2 linked regions of the Neodiprion lecontei genome follow. The protein of the gene in region 1 purifies or fractionates together with the protein of each later gene. This does not show direct contact. Links are inferred from orthologs where the notes say so. Each region holds a gene or a part of one and is shown in the gene's direction. Other genes may lie near its edges.

Evidence for each region.
Region 2: the proteins of protein CASC3 (region 1) and regulator of nonsense transcripts 2 fractionate together in Homo sapiens (co-fractionation; 3 studies listed by BioGRID and IntAct). This does not show direct contact. The link is inferred for Neodiprion lecontei from reciprocal best matches to the Homo sapiens genes CASC3 and UPF2.

Annotation. Positions count from the first base shown.
Region 1 is NC_060262.1:37,919,340-37,928,552, reverse strand, and holds protein CASC3, read left to right. Parts: upstream 1-2,441; 5' UTR 2,442-2,457; coding exon 2,458-2,604; intron 2,605-3,646; coding exon 3,647-4,077; intron 4,078-4,335; coding exon 4,336-4,483; intron 4,484-4,687; coding exon 4,688-4,842; intron 4,843-4,948; coding exon 4,949-5,361; intron 5,362-5,448; coding exon 5,449-5,700; intron 5,701-5,917; coding exon 5,918-5,950; intron 5,951-6,544; coding exon 6,545-6,801; intron 6,802-6,942; coding exon 6,943-7,593; 3' UTR 7,594-8,673; downstream 8,674-9,213. UniProt on the Homo sapiens protein: Required for pre-mRNA splicing as component of the spliceosome. Core component of the splicing-dependent multiprotein exon junction complex (EJC) deposited at splice junctions on mRNAs.
Region 2 is NC_060264.1:26,452,984-26,460,755, forward strand, and holds regulator of nonsense transcripts 2, read left to right. Parts: upstream 1-2,090; 5' UTR 2,091-2,276; intron 2,277-2,391; 5' UTR 2,392-2,438; coding exon 2,439-5,939; 3' UTR 5,940-6,275; downstream 6,276-7,772. Other genes in the region: protein arginine methyltransferase NDUFAF7, mitochondrial, read left to right, coding at 1-6, 581-844, 923-1,042, 1,302-1,811; methylosome subunit pICln, read right to left, coding at 6,703-6,791, 6,892-7,002, 7,201-7,377, 7,515-7,660. UniProt on the Homo sapiens protein: Involved in nonsense-mediated decay (NMD) of mRNAs containing premature stop codons by associating with the nuclear exon junction complex (EJC).

The DNA of each region.
Region 1 (9,213 bases):
CGTTTTCCAGCTCTTTTACTCTATAGTAGTTGGACTCTCAGAAATGCGAAAGACGTTGAAAACAGCGTGTGACCAACAGTAGAGGATTTACGAAGGAAATCTTTCACTTTCCGATCGTAACTGTTGATCCGTTTGTTCGTGTTCCCTAGGACGAATGTTCTAAGGGCCTATTATTTCTTCTATGCTATGCTATTTAACAACAAATCAGTAATTTATTCAAAAACGTAATTAACAGTACAGGTGTTTAGTCATAATACCGAATATTAGAGTAGGTTTCAATTGATTATACCTAGTAATTACAACAGACTGAAGTGCGATGAGCAATTTATTGAAAAAGCAATTAACCACAAGAAATATATAACTTAAACCTAACGGTATCGTTAACCTTTATGTTATGGCATAAGGATCATGGCAATAAAGTATTTCCGGTTTTAACAATAAACCATAAAGCAATAAAAGTGACTCACGGTCTCCTTTGAACGCGCTGTCCAGCAATGTCTGCACTCACATTTGGCGAGTACCTGCATGTTGTAAATGCATACAAAGCCAGCGTTCCGTGGTACCCTTCGACGGCTGTATTATTAGTAGAAAGCATGGTTACTGTCTATCAGCGGCAGAACAAAGCATGGCGGTCATTATCTTGCAGAATGTGGTGCGATTGTCTGTCCAATAAAGCAGAATCGAACCGACCTGGCCTAAGTCTTTCATCCCTTTCAGGTATGTGTGAATTCCCGTTTGTCGACCCAGCGTTTTCTTTGAAAATTACCTGTAACTATACAATAAAACTATATGAAAACAAAACATTCGGGCATGCAGGGCCGAACACCGTTAGTCATAGCGTATTCAAACTGCGCGCTATCGATTCATCGAAAAAATCCAAAGGGGTTGCTGCTGCCTTGCTGTTTTGCGATTTTTAGAGCTCGGAAACTTTTCGTCTCAGAATCGTTTTGCAGGTCTTTTTTTTCCACTGATTGGACCCTTAGGAATGCGGTAAAAACATCAAAAACAGCGTAGGATCAACAGCAGAGGAATCACGAAGGAAATCTTTCGTTTTTCGACTGTAACTCTTGATTCGTTGCCGGCAGCATATTCGGACTCCATTCCATAGAGCTTGTCTATAATATCTATGAATTGCTGTCCGAGATATGAGAAAATAATTTCATTCATTCTCATTATTTTGTAATCGTAATACATGTAATTCATTCAAATTAATCAATCATTGATTTTATTTTTGTTATTGTTAATCGTCCAAAAGAAAGGCCCTGGACACACCGCAGCATTTTCAGTATGGGCTATGCGGTAATAAATGTATGAAGAGGCATCTTAAATATGCACGAGTTCACGATTCTGGAATAATGAAAATGAACGATACTATTCTCTTACTTCGAAAAACTGCTACCGTTTTATTTCATTTCCTTCTTGCTTCTCCATTTTTTCCGTTTGTTCACACGCTGAGAGAAATTTTTAGTTCCGGTTACCGCTCAGTCCGTAACTATTTTTATTCTTTACCACAATCGAAAAATATAGTTCTAGGTACAAAATGAAAATTAAATTTGTAGCTGTTACCAGAAAGTCTGGTATCCGTTACTATTCTTTCTCATTACGAACACTTTTACTATATTTTCTTGCAACCGTTGCGAAAATTTAATTTAACCAAAAAAGTAGAGTAAACCTCAGAAACTGATTTTGCGTTGCAATTACCAAAAAAGGATCGACAATAGCGCAAAATGGTTACGTGTACGTCGTTTTTCGTAATTCCAACAATATTCAAACAGTTCATTTAACGATACCTATTTTACTGAATTTTTCTAGTTACTCTAACAAATGAAATTTTTCTCAGTGCACTTCCAATTAACAATCCTCGATTTCTCAATTATTAGATAAAAACGCAACTGACAAACACCCACTCAATTACGTAGTTCATACTTGCGGCATTTTGCCGGTGCGTTGGTAGTCATTTTCATGGGCGTCTTTTTGCTGCCGACGCGACGGCGTGACACTGCCGCGTTAATTTGTCATCGCGTCAATTTGACGCCCGTAAAAATCCAGCTTAAGGCTAGCATCAGTGCCTTAGAGCATGTTTTAGCAGCCTTTGCATGTATGTATACCATCAGTAAACGTCACGAGTGGTGACGAGATATTCGTATTGAAAAAAAAATATCACTCTGATTCAGATTCTGAACAGGCATTTGATTTCCAAAATGACATATGTTGTGTTCTATTTTTCTTTACCAATGTGTTCAATCTGGGGTCCATAAGAACATTGATGAAATAACGGGGTCTCGCATATCATAATTTCGAACGTCGCGGGTTCTATGGTCACTCAGTCTCCCCCCACTCTGCATCATACTGACTGCATGTTGGCAGTAGATTTTAGTGTGTCGCGACGACGCTAGGGGGACAACGAACAAAACGAACGCGACGAATGCGAATCGGTCAGTCTCTGTACAGTCTAACATGGAGTACGAGCAAAACTCGAACGTGTGTAGCTTCAGTGAACTAATTATGTCGGATACACGGCGTCGTAGAAAGTCTAATACTTCTGGAGGATCTGAAGATCTTTCGGATTCGTACGAGGAGTTACATGTAACTAAGGAAACCCAGGTTAGTTTTATTTGACAACTATTGTTTCAACATCTATATTTCTAAACGTAAACGGGCGTTGTATTTACGGTCTGACTTGACCGTTTGTCGATGAAGGTTGATCGCACCGGAGAAATGAGGTCGAAAGTTCAAAGATTTCTCGTTATAATTTGCGTGTATCACCCCAGGTTCTGATAAAGTTCTATTCAGTAATGTGCCATCCAATTATACGGCAAAAAAATTTGCCGCAACGTTTTCGCAGGTTATGCCCTTCGTATGTCACTTATATTTAGCCTGAATTCTCTGCTGTTTAGAATCATCTTGATATCCGTGCCAATAGATATAGACACTGTACACTTACGCATCGTGTACTTACAGATTAGTATCTCAGATTTTCTGCCGTCGAATCAATTGTAAAAAATGTAAACTTTCGTCCTTACCATATATTACTGTATGCCGAAAAATAAACACGTTCATTCGACAACGCGGAAATTGATATCTTTATGTGATTGCAACTTTTTCCACTGTTTGTGTTTAGTTTTCTCCGTTTTTATCTGCTAGGACAATACATCCACTGGCAATCGTCATATCAACTGGGAAAAATGTATAAAAATGATTGCCATCTGTTGCTAAATGCGAGTTATATATTTGAATGAATATTTTTAAATTAATTTCAATCATTGTTTCAAGTTATTGAGTTAAACAATTTTCATATCCCCAATTAATGCTTGTAAGACGCTGACGACGTGTTGATAATCGTCACTATGGTCACACGTCGTAAAGCGTGAGTTTGTACTAGAAACAGATTGGTAGCTTATTTCTTATTGCATAGTTACATTGGCCTTCTTATTTTTCTGTAAATGAAAACTGGAGCTGGATGGTAGGCTGCCTTTCACCCAGATACATAACTGTACCTCACTTATGGCTTGATGTTACAGTAATTGCTCTATATGTTAGATTAGGTCATTCATTTGTAGGGCCTATTTTGGTTTTCAATTAATTTTGAGCTTCTACGGGACAAAAAAATTCTTTTTTCGACTAAAAATTTTTTTTCATCCAATAGAGTAACGAAGTTACAGAGGGTGAGGAGCATCGTGACTCAGAATATGAGACAGGCGAAAGCAGGTCTGAGGCAGACTCGCAGGATGGCGGTTTACGGGAGAGTGGAGATGGACAGGAGGAGGACAAGCCGCAGCGAAAACTGGATGACGATGAAGACAGACGTAATCCTCAGTATATCCCTAAGCGAGGTACGTTTTACGAACACGATGACAGAACAACGGAGGAGGTAGCCGAAGAAAAAGTAGAAAATCCCAACGAAAGAGAGGTGAAAGAAAAGAAAGTCTGGAAAGACAAGGAGGATCGATGGGATCATGATAGGTATAATGACGATGAACAAGCACCCAAGAGCCATGATGAACTAGTAGCTGTCTATGGCTACGATATTCGAAACGAAGAAGGCCCGCCTAGAGCTCGACGGAGGAGAAGATATGGGTAAATAGACATCAATTACCATTTCACTATAAAGTCTTAGAAACTTGTTATTCAGCAAGATATTATCAGCATTGGCAGCTAAAACATTTAAAGAATTAAAAAAACTACAATAAAAAATATTGATTGCATAGCAAACGAAAGTCTGATCACTGTCTACAAGAACAAAATTTTTTCACCATGCTTACTCTTAATTCATCAGTATCAAGTTTGTGTAAAAGTTTCTGGTACTCTGCTAACTTATCCTTATTCCAATAATAGTCGCGGTCCAAACAAATACACGCGAAACTGGGAGGATGAAGATGCATATGGTAAGCCAGGTGGTCCTCCTTCAGTTGGCCGAGGTGGTGTTAGAAAAACAAACCGAAGTGGAGAAGAGTTTCCTGCATTAAGTGGTGGCAATAATAAGGTGAGAATTTCTATTTTGATCATATTGTTTTGAATTAATTACGCAATAGGTGACTGTACCAGCTGGCTACTTATTGTTAGTATCAGTCGATGTTTAAATACTCGATTAGTTCCACGTTGAATTAGAACAATTTGAGATGTATCTTTTTACAGTTCAACAAAGCAAGTGTATGTAGTCTCTAACGAAGGTGTGTTTTTTTCACAGGACGACAGGTCAACCACACCAGAAGAACCAGTTATCACTTCGGCGTGGTATAGCAACAAAAACAAATCTCAACCCAAAGCAGGAAACTTCCCACCTCTCCAAGCACAGCATGAGTCTCTAAACTCGAAGACTAGTCCTACAAATGATTCTGGGATGTAAGTATGAGAAAAAAAAAAGTAAAAATACAATGCCACTAGCAAACTATTTTACAAAGTGTTTACCCAACATACTCATCAATTCAACATCAATGTTTTATTATAGAAACGAAATGCGAACCCTTAATGAGCCAACAAATCCAGCTTGGAAGAAGGAAGTGAAACAGAATTCGCATAGTCAAAGTTCTAATGGAAGCGGTGGTGGTGGTGATGCAGACAAATTACTGAATCACAAATCCTCGCCTCGTGATTCGAACAAAAGGCAGGTCCAGGAGAGTGTGAGTTTGGCAGCCAGTAGAGCCAGAGGTCGAGGATTCAAAGCGAGTGGTAACACTAACAATGCAGGATCCAACAGATTGGATTATAAAGCTAAAGGTCGTGGATCTGGCTCAGTTCCACTTGATAATAGGCGAAATAATTCAGACAATAATCACATCGACGATCATCATATAATTACCGATATGAAACAGATGAATGTCAATGACGGAGGATCTTTTCAACAGAATAGCAGACAGAACAGTAAGATTTTATGCTTGTCTGACAATATGATCAACGAGCATCTTGACTTGCAAAGCTTTTCTAACAGCTTATTTTTTATCTTTACAGAAAATTTGTATGTCCAATCTCCAGGCCAAGTTCGACCTGGTACGATTCCTCCACGTATGCAACAACAGCACCAGCAACCACAGCAACAGCAGCAGCCAGCACAGCAGCAATCAGCTCGCCAACAGCAGCATGACGCAGCTGGTAACAGACCTAAACGGTATTCAAGCTTACGCCAGCGCCCACCAGTTCCAGAGGGTCCTGGACAGCAAGGCTACCAGCCTCAGCATGGTCAACATGGCTATTACCCACAAGGTATTTAATCAGTCGAAATCATTCGCTTTATTGTGATCTTATAACATAACCTCATCTAAATATTTCCTGATCGATGCAACGATTATTTGACACGACCATGCTGCACTTTTTTTCGAATATGTCAACGTGACGTGTATGCTGTAGGCTAATTGTATATTTTACCGAAATTTATTAACTTTTACTTTTAGTATTAACATTTGTATTCACATGTTCTTAGCTGGAAATTCAAGAGGCGTTCTAGATTCCCAAGGTAAATTTGACAAAAAAGATTCAGTAGTATCGTGTGCGCGATTTGACTATTTCTCTAGTTTGATGCTGTTCATTGATTTGCAGATCATCTGACAATTACATGTTGAGAATGCACTTTTAATTAGTTTGCAACATCATTGTACTAGCTTTGCTGACTTCAATGTTATTTTACAAAGTGAATGACAGATCAAGTTTCAGCGTACTACTTTCAGTTATAATCTTCTCAATGACTTGTGCTTTGTGGCTTTTATCCACACAAGCATGGGAAGTATACCTCATCTTTGCATTGTTACTTGAAAATAAGGATTGTGATCGCTATTCATAAATTCACAGTGCAAGTCTTGAGATTTCCTATGCACTTTGGGATATATGCTTTCTTTTTTGTAATTAAAAAATGTTTTATCCATAAGGCTTCTGCTTTATTCGTGTAAAATATTTTGTGTATGAAATGTGTGAAAAAGCATGTGTTGGCGAGTTTCATGAGTTATCCAATCTGAGGAAACTTTGGATCAGATGATGAAACATCAGCTGCCTACTTTTCAATCACTAAATAAATATGAACAGTTACTTACAAAAGTTTTTTCTATGATTTTAGGATACCCTGCGGGTCACTTTGATCAGGCTCCACCAGTAGCACCGCCGGCAGCTCCTCTAGCTGGACAACCGGTCCTTCCCTTGCCTCCAGGTGGTCAACCAGCAAGTTTTGCTCCACCTCCATTTTTGGTACCTTCACCTCAGTTCTTACCACCTCAGGGTGCACCGCCAAGCATGATTAATTACGTACAGGGACCGAACGGGCCTGCCTTTCAACCTAACTTCCAGGGTTATCAAGGCTTCAGTCCGCCTGTTCAGGTTGGTTGATAAATGGTAGTTTTATTAGCAGCTAATTTCTGAAATGTCCTGCAATGAGCAACGAAATTTTAGAAATTAACTTATCTTCTAGTACCCTAATTACGACAGAGTAATAACGAAAACCAATATCTTTGTTTTCAGCCACAAGGGCCGCCGCCGCCCCAAGAACTCTTTCAGCCACAGGGTTGTACCTATTACAGCCCTGCTCAACAACAACAGCATGCAGTTCCTATGAGACGACCAAAGGCTGCAATTCCTATTCTTCCGCCACCTGACAATCAGCAACATATGACTAGTCGAGGTAGAGGTAGAACAATACAACAACAAATCATTTCCGTTCCAGTTGGCGGCGTGCAAAGAACAAATACGGAAAGTAAGAATAACATGGTGGAAGGCGATGGGAAATTCGTACAGGCACAATTTGCTGGAGTTCAGATAGAGAAGCAGGTACTAATCGATCAGTTTGCGGTTAATGAGACCACTGAAGTAAGAGAAAATTCCGTCGACAATGAAGACAAGGATGTAATATCCAATTCTGAAATCACCAATATCTCGGAAACTTCAAAAGAGTTGAAGGTCAGCTTAGATGTGGTCGTAATGACAGAGCAACGGCAAGACAATGAACAAGAAACGGAGCAGCTACAACAACAAGAGCAACATGTTTTGGAAAGTGATGATGTCATAACTACCAAAACCGCTGAACAAGTGATAATTAATACTACAGAGCCTGAATTGCCGAAAATAGAAAATAAGGTAATGGAAAGTCCCGCGGTTGAGGAAGCTGCTGCCTAGTTATTTACACTTAGCTTTTTTTAATCACGTATCATATTCAATTGACTATAACAGTGAGTTAATATGATGTGAATACGTTGATGAAACTGTCATCATCATTGAATGTCACGTAAATATAACTAACGAGTGATGATCATCAGAAAAAGTGAAAATATTTTGGAGAATTTCAAAATTGCGATAAAGCGAATAATGTCGCGGCAATCGCTAATTTATCGTGCATCAGCCATCGACTACTGTACATGTTATGTTATGTTTATTACTAACTTGGGGTGGTATCCGTATTTCACCAGTTTAGTTCGTCGCTTGCAAAATAAAAGGATAATTTCGTATTATCTGCATTTTGACTAATTATCTGGCGTTATTATCTGCCAGTTTCAATTTGAATTTTATATTCACATTGTGCATAATTAATTGCATTGTAAAAGTCTCATGGGATGAAATTCTTTTTCGACAAAGTTATAACTTTAACTTTATCTCTCTGGCCGGGCCAGTGTTACATCAGCACGTTTTTATTTTGTTAGCGACTCTCTCCTTTGTTTTGGCACAAGATTTTTCTAGGTCTTCCACCTGCTTCAGATCGATTTTCCCATTTCCTCAATTCAGTCAAATAAAAACATATTTAAGATTGATTTTTATTCATATGCAAATGTTTAAAGTTTATAAAATCAACAATATAAGATATACTAACTTCTTGAATTTTGTTGAATTCATAAGCTGATATATCTTTTTTTAAAAGTCAAAGATATCATTTAAAACGAACAGGCTTGTTTGATATAAACTTTGATTGTGACTCGTTCTAGCCATTTGCCGTGCTTATCTAACCGTTGAGTAGCCATTGATATAACATACGATTATTAATTAAACAGAAAAGGTAAAATCAGAAAAAAGAAGATAGATAAATTATGATAAATAGAATCATAAATTAATAGATATCACATACAAATGTAACATTTGTATTGTAATTATTCAGTCTGTATAAGCAGTTAGTATAAGCGACTAAAAAAGAGATGATTGCGAAATTGTAAAATAGTCCAAGCAGTTTTGGACACTTAAGGTGTGTAATAAAAACGTTTCATTTCACTTAAACTGACTTTTGTTTAAAACGTCTTTGTAGAAGAATTATGCCGCATAAATGTAAAAATATTACTTTTCTATAATCATGTAGAAACATATAAATGTTTTATTAACACGAGGTTCGTGTTTCAGTTTTAATAATGAATGCATGTAAACTCTTGGCGAATTGATCGATGTAGTTATGATAGTCGTATGGTTATAAGATTTACCTATTTTTATTTCCTAATGCTATCAGAAATTGAATTGCAGGATAAATTGCGATCGATTTATATTTAGTAATTTTTAGTACCTACGTGAAAAAGTAGCGCAATAATCTTACCTTGTTCCTCAATTGGCAGAGTTGAAAAAAACCAAAAACGAGCAAATTGAATGAAAAAATAATTTCCAATTTGGAAGAAACTAAAATATAACATCATCAAATTGACGCAGTGAAATCTTGTTATTAGTAGTAATTGTAGTAAGTTAGATTTATGCAAAGAGCTATAATACATTCTTCATGCCAACAAGTGTTTTTCCCAAACGCAATAATTTTCATACCTTCAAATG
Region 2 (7,772 bases), on another chromosome or scaffold:
CTCAGGGTGTGTCAAAAGATCTCATTAGTCCAAGGCTCACCTTTGTTCGTTTAGTTCAGATACACTAGAACCAAAAAAAAAAAATTAGCTTTGAGGCTTATAATTTTTACTTCGAAATATTGCCCACTCTGCCAGACAACCAAATTACCTGAAATTTGCAAAACTTATCCAAAATGCTGTATGTAGGCTTGAAGAGTTACGAATCAAAACTCAAACGTGTATTTAATCTATCTGGTGGTAATGGTTTATGCATGATAAGTTTCAAGTGATTGTATGAATTTCTAATAAGTTAAATGCATAGATTTTCAGCTCTTCAGCTGACTAGAACAGTATAAGAAATATTTCAATGCTAACTTCACTTACCAGTCTATATTTGATCTTTAAACTTTAATTTTGAACCTAATGCTTTCTGGTATTTGTTTTATCTATGTTGATTAAACTCTTTACACGGTTCTATGGACTTGTTGACTATCTTGCATGCATTTTATTAGCTGGTCTCACTTTTATTGAGCATATAGCGAAGCAAGGGCCTTCCTCTCTCTTGTAGTATTGCTGATAGATAGGTGTCTCTGTCGTTCAGGTTTACCACAAACTGGGATTATCCTCCAGAGTTTCATTACATTTGGTAGAGGTCAGCCCAACACTGTCTGACCTGCAAGCAAAGAATTTATGCAAAACATATGAAGAAATTGACAATGACAAATGTCAATCTTATTACAAACATGGCACAACAGAGGATGGTGTCACAGTGTTCTGGTATCGAACCATCCACGATGTTCCTTCTGGTTTCAGCATCATAATTGCACAGGAATTTTTCGACGCTATGCCCATACATAAGTTTCAGGTGAACTAATCTGAGCGTGAAGATGGAATTTCCAGCTTCTTAGCTGCCAATTTAAAACATTGCTTCTTCCTTTTTTAGAAAACAAACGAGGGATGGAGAGAAATTTTAATCGACATCCATTCAGAGTCGAAAGAGACTGAAAAATTTCGCTACGTCTTGTCTAGGTCAGCTACTCCGAATACCAAGTTTTACATCTCTGTAAGCATTAGTGAGCGTAGGAAATATCTAACTTTCTAAAACAAATGAAGATAAGTTACATTTGATGATGAATAAGGTTTAGAGTCTGTTGTTTGCTGTCCGAATAAGTATGTGTGAAACAGTTATTACAAATTTGAAATATCTAAATGAGATACGCAATTTTAAATATAACCGTTGTTGAGAATTCTAGCACATATGACCCATACATGTAAAATTACATGATTTATGTCACTAATTTATATGCATCAATTTTTTTTAGGAACACGAACGCAGGGATCACATCGAAACAAGCCCGCAAACCGCCGTAATTATAGATTATATTGCAAATTTTCTCATAGGAAACGGAGGATTCGCGCTTATTGCTGACTACGGTCATAACGGAGATCGAACAGACACGTTTCGAGCTTTCCGTAATCACAAGCAGCAGGATCCACTCACGAATCCAGGAACAGCTGACTTGACTGCAGACGTTGACTTCTCACTGCTGAGGAGAATAGCATGTCAAAATAATCGTCTGATATCATTTGGCCCCGTCACCCAGAGACATTTTTTAAAACAGCTTGGTATCGACACCAGGCTGATTATGCTGTTGAAGAAAGCATCCGACGACAGTACCAGAAAAGCATTAATTTCGGGATACAGTATGATTACAGACGAAGACAAAATGGGAAACTGTTTCAAGTTCTTGTCTCTGTTCCCCTCAGTGTTGAAAGATAATTTGAATAAGTGGCCTGTGGCAGGTTTTCAAGCAATTCACACACCGGTGTAGAATAGTTGAAAATTATATATTGTTAGAAATTGTTTACTCTCAAGATTTTCTGTAAATATTTTGTACTTTGGAGCGTTCTTTTCGTGTACATGAAAATGAGAATAAACTTCATCGCTGAGAGCAAAACTTGTATTTCATGTTCCGTCGACAATATCTCGAATATTTTGGTCTACAAGGATTGAATTGACGCGCGCAGTTTTGTCGTTTAGCGCCATCGTTGAGCCGCTGGCGGAAGCTTTTATTTTTCGTAAGGAGCACATTGCACAAATGCGCTATGGCGCGTCGTATCCTGGTCGTATTTAAAAGTCTGTGGTCGTATCTAACCATAGAATTGATAAAAACAAATCAAGAACACAGAGTCAACAACGACGTGGTGGGTAGTTGTGTATAATTTTATTTTACTGTAAAGTGCTGTAAAGTCCATGGATTGAAGATCGGCCAGGAGTTTAGTGTCGTTAAAACGAGGTACAGGCTTGTAGCTGAACTGTGTCAATTCCTTATAGATTATAATCTTGTCAAACAAACCTAACCTCTTTTCTATCTTCTAACTAAAATTCAATAAATGATTTGTTACAAACAGAACATCGTAAAACACTTCTGTCCGGAAGACAACAAGAGACCGTGGCGATGTCAGAGATTCAAAATGACAGTCAAGAGGCGGAAAAAGTATCACCCGATGTGTCAGAGGTGGACAAGGAGTTTCTGATGGAATATATCAGGGAGGCGGAACAGCGTTTCTCAACAAAGGAAAAGATCCGATTAGCAAACCTAAATGTGTCCCGTCCGCCTGATTCGCATTTCAGCAAACTGGATTCCAGCTTGAAGAAAAATACTACATTTGTCAAAAAGCTCAAGAACTTTTGTACGGCTCAGCTGGATACCGTCCTGAAAGATATGAGCAATTTGAATTTAACGAAATATATAAGCGAAGTGGCGACAGCTCTTGTAGAGGCTAAATTGAAAATGACTGATGTCGCGCCAGCTGTGAAGGTTTGCAGTTACCTGCACCAGAATTATGCCGAATTTGGCGCTCATTTCTTTGAGAATTGGCAGAGGATATTGAGTTTCAAAGTCGGTGACAAGATTTCAAATCCTAGCAAGCTAAGGGTAGATTTAAGATTTTACGCTGAGTTAGTCAATGCTGGCATATTTACGCACAAGCAGGGTCTTCCGCTTTTGGGCAGCGTGCTCACCGTACTCATTAATATGGACAAAGAAGACCACAACAACGTAACGATAATTTTGAGTTTTTGCCGTCACTGTGGTGAGGACTATGCGGGTCTGGTACCAAGAAAAATAAGAGAGTTGTCTGAGCTATGGCCAGGCGAGCCTTTGCCCAAAAGCAGACTACTGTCTGCCGACAAGCAGCAGAATGTTCGAACACTACTGCGGGACTATTACAACTCTCTGTGCAAACATCTACTCAAGGAACACAAAGAGCTTCAGGCATTCGAAAAACAGAATCGAAAGATACTGCAGACCAGAGGTGAATTGAGCTCAGAGAGGAAAGAAAAGTTGGAAACTCTGCAGGTATCCTATGAGCGTTTGTTCAGTGGCGTGCAAAGCTTTTCAGAAACATTAGACGAAAGCATGCCTGAACTGCCAGTCGACATGGAGGTTAAAACAGAAGCAGAAGAGTCTTTCAAGATGACCTGTGACGGTGAGGATAGCGGCACAACAACAGAAGATATGTGGGGCGATGAGGAGACTAAGAGATTTTACGAAGTATTCCCAGACCTCACCGTATTTTTGCCTGGTTCTTATTCAAAAGAAGTACCTGTGCTTAAACCTGACGAAAATCAACTAACAGAAGAGGCTCTGGACGAGGAATTGGCGCTGGAAGAACTCGAGGACACAGACAAAGTTGCCGAAGAGCCAGAGGCAGAGGTTGAAGAGACACACGTCACGAATATCAGCAACAAAATATTATTGGACGCGTTTCTGACTCACCTTCCCAATTGTGTTAATAGAGAAATGATTGACAATGCAGCTGTTGATTTCCTTATGAATTTAAACACGAAGCACAATAGAAAGAAACTCATTAAGGCCCTGTTCGGTGTGTCCAGAATTCGGCTAGATTTGCTGCCCTTCTACTCACGGCTTGCCGGCATCCTTTATCCAGTTATGCCAGACGTCGCTAATGACCTCTGTCTAATGCTCAAGCAAGATTTTAAGTACCACGTTAGAAAGAAAGACCAGATCAACATTGAGTCAAAAATAAAAGTTGTTCGTTACATCGGTGAGCTTGTTAAGTTCAAACTGTACTCAAAAATTGAGGCACTTTACTGTCTTAAAGTACTATTGCACGATTTCACTCATCACCATGTTGAAATGGCTTGCAATCTATTAGAGACGTGCGGGAGATTCTTATTTTGTTCCCCAGACTCTCATCAACGCACAAAAATCTACCTGGAACAAATGATGCGAAAAAAGGCGGTTACTGCTTTGGATTCGCGTTACGTAACGATAATAGAGAACGCTTACTACTTTGTTAATCCACCAGAGTCCACTGGCGGTATTGCAAAAAAAGAAAGACCACCTATGCACGAGTTCATTAGAAAACTACTTTACCAGGATCTGTCCAAGGCAAATACTGACAAGGTATTGAGACTAATGAGAAAACTGGACTGGGAGGATGACAATATTTCTACGTATGCTATTAAATGCCTTGTAGCCGCCCATAATGTAAAGTACCTGAACATAAGGTGCGTTGGTAGTTTACTAGCAGGTTTGGTGGCGCATTATGAGGCTGTTGGCCCTTACGTTGTAGATGGCGTTCTGGAAGACATAAGGCTGTGCATGGAGGTAAATTTGCCAAAGTATAACCAACGTCGTATTGCAATGGTCAAGTACCTCGGGGAATTATACAATTATCGCCTAGTCGAGAGCGGCGACATCTTCCGCACTCTCTACCTGCTCATAACTTTCGGCGTTTCTACAGATCATACAGTACCTACGCTCCTTGATCCGCCTGAGCATTTGTTCAGAATCCGTTTGGTCTGCACGCTCCTGGAAACATGTGGTCAATACTTTAGTGGTGGTTCTAGTAAGAAGAAACTGGATTATTTCCTAATATTCTTCCAGCATTACTACTGGTTCAAGCGTAGCGATCCTGTATGGACCGTCGAAAATCCATTTCCAGTCAGCGTCGATTATATGTATCGTGACACACTGACAATGCTTAGGCCAAAGATGCAGCTGTTCCAAGGTTTCAAAGAGGCCCGTTGTGCTGTAGATGAATTGCGCAACACCTTGTACCCAAGTCTCGCCAGAATTGAAGTAAAGGAGGACGAACAGTATTCAGGTGAACCACGCGCATCCGACAGCAATAATGAATCTGAAGCAATGGGAGCTATACCAGAGGTCGATGAGGAAGTGACGACACCTACGCCAATAGCTTCAGGTAACGGAAGTGGAGATGCCAAAGGTATACTCGAAGAACTGCACTTCGATGAAAGTGAAGAGTATTCTGAAGCACAGTCGGAAGATGACTGGGCAACAGATGGTTACAGAGAAGGTAATCATGGTACACAGGAAAATACTCAAGGGGAGTTCAGTCTATCGGCAGGCGTGAGTGAGGGGGTTGTTATGGACCCCTCAGAATTAGATGCTGCGCTACCAATGGCGCCAAGGCGGGTTGGCTGCCCAGAAGATGACGATTTTCTTTCGGCCCTTGACAAAATGGTGTCTGACAATATCCAGGACCGGATGCGTGACTCGGTGAAGCCACAACAGGTTGATATATCTGTGCCACTCCATGTCAAGAGCACAAAAAAGACGTATGAACAATTACGTGAAGGACCGTCGGACAATACGACTGTGGACTTTGTACTCATGCTTAGGAAAGGTAATAAGCAGCAGTATAAAAATCTTGCTGTTCCTGTGTCTTCCGAACTCGCTATGAATCTCAGGAATCGGGAACAAGAACAGAAAGAAGAAAAGGAGAGGGTGAAGAGATTGACACTAAATATTACCGAAAGACAGGAGGAAGAGGATTATCAAGAGACTATAAATCAAGGCACTAGACCTGTTACCGTTAATCTGAACAGAGAACGTCGACAAAAGTACAATCACCCAAAGGGTGCGCCGGATGCTGATCTTATTTTTGGGCCCAAAAAAATTCGATGAGCAGAAAATAGTGTAACCTCGGCAAGGTATATTGTAATGATAACACTTGATATCGGTTTCTTATGCCTGTGGTAGCCATACTACCTGTGATGATTTTTATGCTATATGCATAAGTGGTTACACACACACACACGTTACGCGAGTACATCAAATGTTTAAGTATACAAAATAATGTACGCTGTTCTACAGATCTCAAATTCAAACGGGGATGTGTTTCCAAGTGGGATCGTTCGATTGAAACCTTTCGACCCCAGCTTTACACATCCATTACCAATAGGTATACGTGTAAACTCGGCATGCGCCGTTAATTGAGAAATAAACGTTCCAACGTTAAAATTACGTACAATAATTCGCATGCCTAACATCACATATTCCATCAACCATTTCCGACACACGATAGATAGTTACAATAATCTTAGATTGTCATTTTTACGCAAGGTATACTTCTCCGTCTAAAATCTCATTCCCATTAATCGCGTTAATGCGCAATGACAAAAATCAAATGCAATATTATATCTATATTTATATACCTATATTTTTTACCATAGGAATAGTTATCATGTACAAAATGAATATGAATATAAATTCGAGCGCTTTGTGTCTTAGCTGACAGAAATTTACTTCAGAGTATTGTGATTCGGTAAGCTTATAGCATTATGTCTACAACGCGCATGAAAATAAACTGCACGAACAAAGAGATATAGTGACGATTGACGCACGTTTTAGTTGACAGCAGAGAGTAGAATTTAATACCACCAACTACCTAAGGGTCTTCTTCAGCATCTTCAAACTGGCCTGCTTCAATATCCATGGCTTCGTCTGTATCTGCACCGTTCTGATTATATGCTTCATCTGGAAAATTACCATGCCAATTGAATGGTTACAGGGCCAGCATCTAGATAGCAAATTGTATTCAATCTAACCATTCAACAAAAACAGAGAGAAATCATACCCGATGCCAATATGTATGGCATAGCGTCTGTTTCAGCTTCCCAACATTTGAAAACATCGTCCTCAGCATCCTCATAGATATCCTCTTCAGCTGTGAAGTTTTTGTTCATTTCTATTCATTATAATTGTTTCTGTAACTTATAACTTGGAATTGAAATCTATAGGGTTCTGTAGCAGAGTTAGAAATAAATAAATTTGGTCAATTTGCGTGAAAAAAAAAGGTGCATTATACCTCCAAGGTAGAATACAATAGTAATTGAAGTAAAGTCAAAAGGATTGTCATGAATTTGAGGCATGACCATTTAGATACCTTGAGGATCAGGGTGGAGTGCTTGGCACTGGCTCATCGCTTGAAACATGGCATCCAAGCTATTTGAATTTTCTGGAACGAATCTCATTTCAGTCATTGGAGTTTCCGATTCATCGTCGTCGTCCTCTTCATCGTTGCCTTCAGATCGGGCATCTATAGGCAGCAATTCTTGCATATCTGTTGATATAGCATGACACAGACATACAGAGATATTTGTCCAAAATTTGAGTTAAGAAATACAAAAAAATCCTCAATCATCAACCGCAAGTATAGCACATGTATAAGGGAAAAAAGTATCCTCGTTTTTCATTTACCTGCAGGGTCTAATTTTGCATCTACCATGACATAAAGGTATTGGTGAGGATGTAGTTGTTGGTCCCTTGATATAGCATGCAGCGATATATTAGGATATTCCAATGAAAATCCTTGACCAGTCGTCCCACTAACCCATGATAGTAGGCTGAGAAAGTAAGATTACTTATAACACAGCCAATCCATGTTGCATATGGGTTCTAACCGTTGCTCTTGCGAGCCACTAGTTTGAAACATCAAATAAAGGGAGAGTTGTGTTC